2 linked regions of the Danio rerio genome follow. The protein of the gene in region 1 purifies or fractionates together with the protein of each later gene. This does not show direct contact. Links are inferred from orthologs where the notes say so. Each region holds a gene or a part of one and is shown in the gene's direction. Other genes may lie near its edges. The genes, in order: pnkp and lig3.

Evidence for each region.
Region 2: the proteins of pnkp (region 1) and lig3 purify together in Homo sapiens (co-immunoprecipitation; 5 studies listed by BioGRID and IntAct, with this or other methods). This does not show direct contact. The link is inferred for Danio rerio from reciprocal best matches to the Homo sapiens genes PNKP and LIG3.

The regions. Positions count from the first base shown.
Region 1 is NC_133190.1:16,213,976-16,217,811, reverse strand, and holds part of pnkp (bifunctional polynucleotide phosphatase/kinase), read left to right. Parts: intron 1-2,172; coding exon 2,173-2,244; intron 2,245-2,357; coding exon 2,358-2,406; intron 2,407-2,912; coding exon 2,913-2,983; intron 2,984-3,214; coding exon 3,215-3,307; intron 3,308-3,617; coding exon 3,618-3,714; intron 3,715-3,793; coding exon 3,794-3,836. UniProt on the Homo sapiens protein: Plays a key role in the repair of DNA damage, functioning as part of both the non-homologous end-joining (NHEJ) and base excision repair (BER) pathways.
Region 2 is NC_133180.1:66,748,408-66,752,243, forward strand, and holds part of lig3 (DNA ligase 3), read left to right. Parts: intron 1-584; coding exon 585-740; intron 741-846; coding exon 847-978; intron 979-2,052; coding exon 2,053-2,132; intron 2,133-2,262; coding exon 2,263-2,350; intron 2,351-2,513; coding exon 2,514-2,591; intron 2,592-3,836. UniProt on the Homo sapiens protein: Isoform 3 functions as a heterodimer with DNA-repair protein XRCC1 in the nucleus and can correct defective DNA strand-break repair and sister chromatid exchange following treatment with ionizing radiation and alkylating agents.

The DNA.
Region 1 (3,836 bases):
AGTATTTTTATGAACACAAGTTTTATATGGAGTAGAACAATGTTGAAAACATGGCAATGGTCAATTTTGTTCTTACACAGACATTTAAGTTTTAAATAAAATAAATGATTAGTGTGTCCGCGGGTTTTTAAAAATTAATACAAGTTTATATCAATTATGAGAAAATTAAGGGCTTTAAAAGGTATGAAAAAGTCTTAATCACATTTTTACGAGGACTTAATTTTTGTTCAAGCGTTGTCCAAAGTGTTTTTACTCCAAAAAAGTATATAATATAAGTTTCTTCGCATCTGGCCAAGCTCCACCGTCCGAGTGTAGTGAAACCATAGAGCAAAACAGACAGGGAGATAGGAAAGTATATGTTTGCGTACTCCTGGTTGGAGAAAGATGAGTTTAAACAGTGGCTGAAGCCTGCCATTGAAAACAACCACGTAATTTATTCTTTCAAGCTTTGTTTCTTCCGAGCTTATCTGAGTTATGTTGCATGGTTGTGCTCCATTGATTTATTTAACTACAATTCTTTATTAACAACAGTTGATTAACATCTGTTTATTAAGTTTAAAGGTTTAATACTGATTAGAACTTTTTTTAGAAGTTTTGATGAGGTCTTCAAATATTCTGAGAAGGTCTTTTCCAAACTCCTAAAAAGGTGTTGAAATTACCTTTAGGATTCTTACATATACCCTGTTGATACATGCTGGCATGTTTAGTCAATTGTACATATTCATCTTTATATTCACTCTTTATATTTACTCTTACTTACAGTTGAAACCAGAAGTTTACATACACTGTATAAAAAGGCACATAACCATTTTTATGAAGTCAGATGCTAATTTGACTAAACTTTTTCTCTTTTAGGTAAATTAGGGTTATCAATTTAGTTTCTGTTATGCTTAATAGCAGAATATTGAGAGATATTTTTTGAGAACTTTTCTTGAAAGTCAAAAGTTTACATACAATACGATTACTATGCCTCTGAAAATGATGATGATGATGATAAAGATGATGGTGTCAAGGTTTTGGAAGTTTCTGATTGGCTAATTGACAAAATTTGAGTTAATTAGAGGCACAACTGTAGAATAGCATTTAAGGAAAACCTCAAACACACTGCTTCCTTGTATAACAACATGGGAAAATCAACAAGCCAGAATCAACAAAAAAAAAAGCCAGATTACAATTTGCTAAATTACGCTGGGAAAAAGAATAATTTTTGGAGACATGTCCTAAGGTCTGATTGGAACTAAGATTAAGCTGTTTGGCCATAATAACCAGTGTTACATTTGGAGGACAAAGGTGAAAGCGTACAAGCCTAGGAACACCATCCCAACGGTGAATGGGAGCGGCAGAAGAGTCTGGTCCAATTCATAGCATAGATGATATCATTAAGAAAGAACATTATGTAGAAATGCTGAAGCAACATCTCAAGACATCAGCCAGGAAACTACAACCTGGCCACAACTGGATCTTCCAAACAGACCATGACCCTAAGCATACTGCCAAATTCGTTAAAATGTGCTTGAAAAAAAAAAAAGTTGAAAAAGCTTGTGCGAGCAAATCTGCCTCAGTTACACCAATTCTGTCAGGAGGAAGGGGCCAAAATACCTGCAAACTATTGTAAGAAGCTTGTAGAAGGATACCCAAAACATTTGACAAAAGTTATACAGTTTAATAGCAAAGCTAAAAAAATACCAAGGAAATGGATGTAAACTTTTAACTGTTAAGAAATTAATAAAAAAATGTAAAGAAAAAAAATCTCTCATTATTCTGGCATTTAGCAAATGTAAATCATTTAGGTAATCCTAACGGAGCTAAAATAGTAAACGTTTAGTATGATTTACCATCAGACATTTAAAAAGAAATGGTTATGTTCCTGTTTTCAGAGTGTATGTAAACTTCTGGTTTCAACTGTATGTATAGAGAGGGGTACAGAAGTGAATATTTTACAGCAGATTTTTACAAATTAATTTGAAAATGAAACGTGCAGCATTTGTTATTTTATCTAAATGTTAACCTTTAAAAAAACTCTTTAAGATAAAGGACTAGAATGTATCTTGACAATTAATATATCTTTGTTTGACAAAAGTATTGATTTCTTGCTTTAAATACATTGACTTGTGGTGGAATAAAATTAAGTGTGGATATAATTTACAAATGAAAGTATATTGTCTTTTTCAGGTGTTTGTTTCCACAGCCCCTGGGATTTACAGAAAACCTGTCATTGGGATGTGGGAGCATCTGTGTGAGAAGGTAAATCACGATTACTTTTTTGTATTAGAGGGACTGCATTACTGTAGTGTTCCTATGTTATAAGCAGCAAGCCACATCATGTTTTGCTACACATTTACTGTGGTGTTTTGCAGGCGAATAGCGGAGTGATGGTAGACGTGTCAGAGAGCTTTTATGTAGGAGGTGAGCTCAATTGAATCCTTTTGAGTGTGATTAGCTTTGTAATATGATTATCTGTGATTAATATTGTACTTTTTTTTACAATGTGTAAGCTGAAATTACAAACGATGTCACTCACTTTTGCTTAAAACAAGCAAACTAAATACTCTATATTGATTGTGTGATGAAGACTATTAGAATGCAGTTAGAATGACCCCTAATTCAAGTTATAAAGCAAAAAAAAAAAAAAAAAAAAAAAAAACAACTCATGATTCTTTTTGCTATTTAAAGAAATAATAATATACAGTCAAGCCCAAAATTATGTATACCCCTGCCAAATTCTGACTTAAAATTATTTTTATTCAACCAGCACGTTTTTTTGTTTGACTGAAAATGACACAGGTTTTTCCAAAAGATAATAAGATGATGTACAAGAATACATTCTTTTAAATGTATTATGTGATAATGCAAGAAGATTCAAAATATTTTTGGTCATTCGTTCATTCATTAATTTATATATTCATGTACAGATGCAGCAGGACGTCCCGCTAACTGGGCCCCAGGGAAAAAGAAGAAAGACTTCTCCTGCAGTGACAGACTGGTAATGACATTAGGAGTCTTTATTGCTCATTGGATGACTGAAATAGCTAATTCAATACTGAATTACTGAATTGTGTATTCTTTTTAATTTACAGCATATGATTATTGCGTATAAAGTCTTTACTTTTTTTGGCCAGGAGAGGGCACAATAGGATTGTTCTTGCTCCATTTTAGTCAGCTTTACAGAATTTGAAATCCTTTAGATTTTTTTTTTCCTGTCCTTTGCCCACAGTTTGCCCTCAACATTGGTCTTCAGTTTTACACCCCAGAGGAATACTTCTTGGGCTGGAAACCTGCTACATTCAGCTTCCCAGAATTTGACCCAGTAAATGATTGCTTATTCCCCAATATTTATGTTTCGTATGTGTGTGCGTGTGGTGTGTGTGCGTGTGTGCGTGTGTGTGTGTGTGTGTGTGTGTGTGTGTGTGTGTATATATATATATATATATATATATATATATATATATCAATCGATTAAAAAAATTGACTAATTAATCGCACCTTTTAAAAAAAAATTTATTGCGATTAATCCTGCCTTCGAGTACAACAAAATTCATGCCAGGCTGCCAGCTCTAATCTTTTGAACAGTATTGAACAACATTACCAATATTCTGTCTTTCTATGCCATTGTCCAGAGGAAATTAGACTCTAAAGCACGTCTTTATGATCCGCCTGATGCCTCGCTCACCTCTACCAAGCAGGAAATCATTGTCGCTGTGGGATTTCCTGGAGGTGAGAGCTTTTTTCCCTTTGTTTTTTTCCCTACTCTAATCTGGAATTTTGTATAATCTAAACCTATTTTGTTTTTCAGCGGGCAAGTCAACGTTCTTCCAGACCCACATCATTCCAAAGGG
Region 2 (3,836 bases), on another chromosome or scaffold:
CATGTACAAAAGCAGATTGTCAATCAAAGTATTTCCACAGATTGTTTTTATGAAGTGCAATTTATGAAAAAATAAAATGAATACATTTTTGCCACTAGAAGCTGGTTATTTTTACCCACTGTTGCCAAACATCTGTGTTTAAACCCTTATAAAAGTCATTTTTGCATAAAAGGTACCCTCTAAAAAAAACAAAACACTTGAAATGTATCAGTGTGTGTGTGTAATGAATCGTATCTGACTTTCACTTTTCAAATTTAATTACTAAAATAAATCAACGATATTCTAGTTTGAAATGCACTTGTATATCTTTCCAAACGTGTATGATTATTATTTTTTTTTAATTCCACAAAGTTAACAGAATGTATTTTTGGGTTAAGTAAGCAATTGATTCATTGTTACTCATTTATAGATTAGATTCGATATTACGAACATGAAAAATGATGTACATATGTCCTCATTTAGACTAGTTTGTTGGTTCAAAAGCAGTAAAGAGGTTTAGAAACAGGAACTATATAATCTCTGCTATTGAATTACATTTTTTAAATGCTTATATTTTTGTCTTTTTTGTAATATTATTTGTTTAGGCAGAGGCATGCAAGTCCATTGAGTACGCCATGAAGAAGTGTCCTAATGGGATGTATTCTGAGATCAAATATGATGGTGAGCGCGTGCAGGTCCATAAGAACGGCAATCACTTCAGTTACTTCAGTCGCAGTCTCAAACCAGTCCTCCCACACAAGGTAAGGTCCTCCGGCAACTATTAACTGTTCAAGTGAAATTCCTGGGGATATATTAATACTGAAACCATTAATATTTGTTTAAGACATGGCTTAATTTATCCCACAGGTTGCCCATTTTAAGGACTTCATACCGCAGGCGTTTGCTGGTGGTCATAGCATGATCCTTGATGCTGAAGTTCTTCTTATTGACACAAAGACTAGCAAACCACTGCCTTTTGGGACTCTTGGAGTACACAAGGTAAACCAGAGAGCTGTGTAATATTCTCCCCTTATATACAAGACTCTTATATTAGAAGTTTCTGTAAGTCTGTATTTATTTGATTACATATACAGTAAAAACAGTAATTTTTGACTCTTTTTATTTTACAATATTTTAAAATGTTAATTAGGATTTTCAGCATTACGTCAATCTTTAGTATCACACGATCATTTAGGAATCATTTTTATTTTGCTGATTTTGTGTTTATGATATCATTTTATTAAGACCATTGAACTTATTACCTCAAACATCCTAGAAGAATTTCTAGGCAAAATTATTTAAATTATTAGATAAAAAAAAGAAATATATATATATATATATATATATATATATATATATATATATATATATATATATATATATATATATATATAATTAGTAGATATATAGTTCAAGACTGGGCTGATTTACCATCTGAACGCACTCAATATAAAAAAATAACTCCAGTTAAGAGGTTAAACAAAATTCTAAGAAGTACCAAAATTCTAAGCACTTTTTAAAGTATTGTATAAAATTTAAATAATTAAAAATTTGATTATTAACACCAATGAAAACTATTGCCATTTACTTTTCTATTGTTATTTTGTGATTTTTGATACAATCATAAGCCAACAGAATTGGATGTCTGAACTTACAGGAATAATTTTTTTTTTTTTGGAGCATAGAATATGCATATTTTACATAAAACATGGTACTTTTAGAAAATGGATAGACAGTGATAAAATATTTGTAAAAAATCTGGGGTCACATCAAAGACTCATCTCATTTAATTAGAGGGTCATCTCAACAATTAAGGACTGCATTATGAAGCATCTTAAGTGTTAAACTTAACTATTTTTTTGGTTCAGATAGTTAAAAAGAACAGCATTTTTTTAAAATTGAAATCTTTCAAAACATAATTCCTTTTCACTTTAATTCAATCCACCTTTGCCAAATAAAATGTTCTTTTGTTCAAAAAAATAAAAAGAAGAAAGTTTTAGAGGTAGTGAATATTACAGACTTAATGAATCTGTCTGATCTGAAACCATTGTCTGTTTTAATGTATGCTTTCAGAAAGCCGCTTTTCAGGATGCTCAAGTGGGCCTGTTCGTGTTCGACTGCATTTATTTTAATGGTGTCAGTCTAATGGACAAGTGAGTCAACCTGAAGGCATTCATTCTAGCTATTGCAGGTTTTAGAGAACAATAAAACCATTGTACTAAAGACTGATGGAAAATTTCAAAGAAAAGGCTTCTGAAATGTTGATCTGGTTATGATTTTTAGGCCTCTCTGTGAGAGAAGAAAGTTTCTCCATGATAATATGGTGGAAGTTCCTAACCGAATTCTGTTCTCAGAAATGAAGCATGTCACAGTAAGTCCTGCAGTGTTGTTGATGTCTTTTCTTTACACATAATGGAAGATTCAAGAATGTTTACCAAAGTGTGGGCAGGTCAATTTAATTACAGGATGATGTTATGGTAAGCCTTCAGAGTGGGTGACTTATTATAACAATTAATGGCATTGTGTCTTTACAGAGAGCTCCTGATCTGGCAGAAATGATCACGCGTGTCATCAGAGAGGGGCTGGAGGGCTTGGTTCTGAAGGATATAAAGGTAAATTAAGCCTGATTAGTGGGGTACTACAGTATATACCACATGTTGTTTGTTTTGTAAACTCCAAAACAAGTGTTCAACTTTTAAAACATTTTAATTTTAAATGAAGGCCAGTAATGGGTCTGTTCAGAGCTACAGAACCATTTACATGGCACCAATGCAATAAAGTTGGTTGCCAGAGACGCGTTCTAATCTCATGGCCCTTCATGGCCCTTTAAAAAAAATAAAAAATAAAAAGTTTGTCATAGGTCCAGAATCGCTGCTGTTAGATAAAAATTATGACGTTATGCAAAAATCACACAATTTTCTACTATAAAGTAGTCAAAAACAAAAGTATGTGACATAAATATGTCCATATTCACAGTACTTATTAATATATATATATTTTTTTGTTAATGTCAAGGTATGAAGCAAGGCAAATAAGACTGGTAGTTCAGATGACAATGACACATAGTCCTATGATTAATAAATGTAATAAATTTAAACAAATTTGGTTCTTCAATCAGATTAAATTGTCTGCATGAACTGATCTGATATCGCGTGTGTTGTGAGGAACAGATCTATCGATACTTGAAATCATGATCAGCAATCCAATCCTGCTGCTGAGGACACAGCAGCGTAATGACATCATCTTATTAATATTTAGTTATCCATGTGAGCAAAATTATATCAAATTTGTAGTAAATGGTTTGTTAAATCTGATATGCAATACCTTTCCATCTTTGTTGTGGGCTGCAGGCTTTACACTTTCATGTGTCAAGAGTATTCAGTTATTTATTTAGTTTTACAATTAGAGCAGATTTTCTTTATTATAGTAGACTAGCCTATTCAAGTTTCTTAATCAGCGTAAGGAATAACTGCCTTTACCGATATCAAAATTAATTTTGATATCTGTAAAGGTGCCTGCAACTTTTGCGAAGCATCAAATTACCGGCATATTAGCTGTCAAAGCATGATTTATGCATGAATACATAAATTAAATTATTATATCTTTAAAATATAAATGAAAGAAAATATTTATTATATATATATATATATATATATATATATATATATATATATATATATATATATATATATATATATATATATATATATATATATATATTGTGTAAATATTTTGAATATTGTGCATGTCTACTATTATACACAAATTGGACCAAAGCTGTGTCAGTACCTTAAATTGTACTTGTTTGTATCTAAGAAGTTCATATTAATAAATGTTCTTTTTGAACCCCTTGAGGA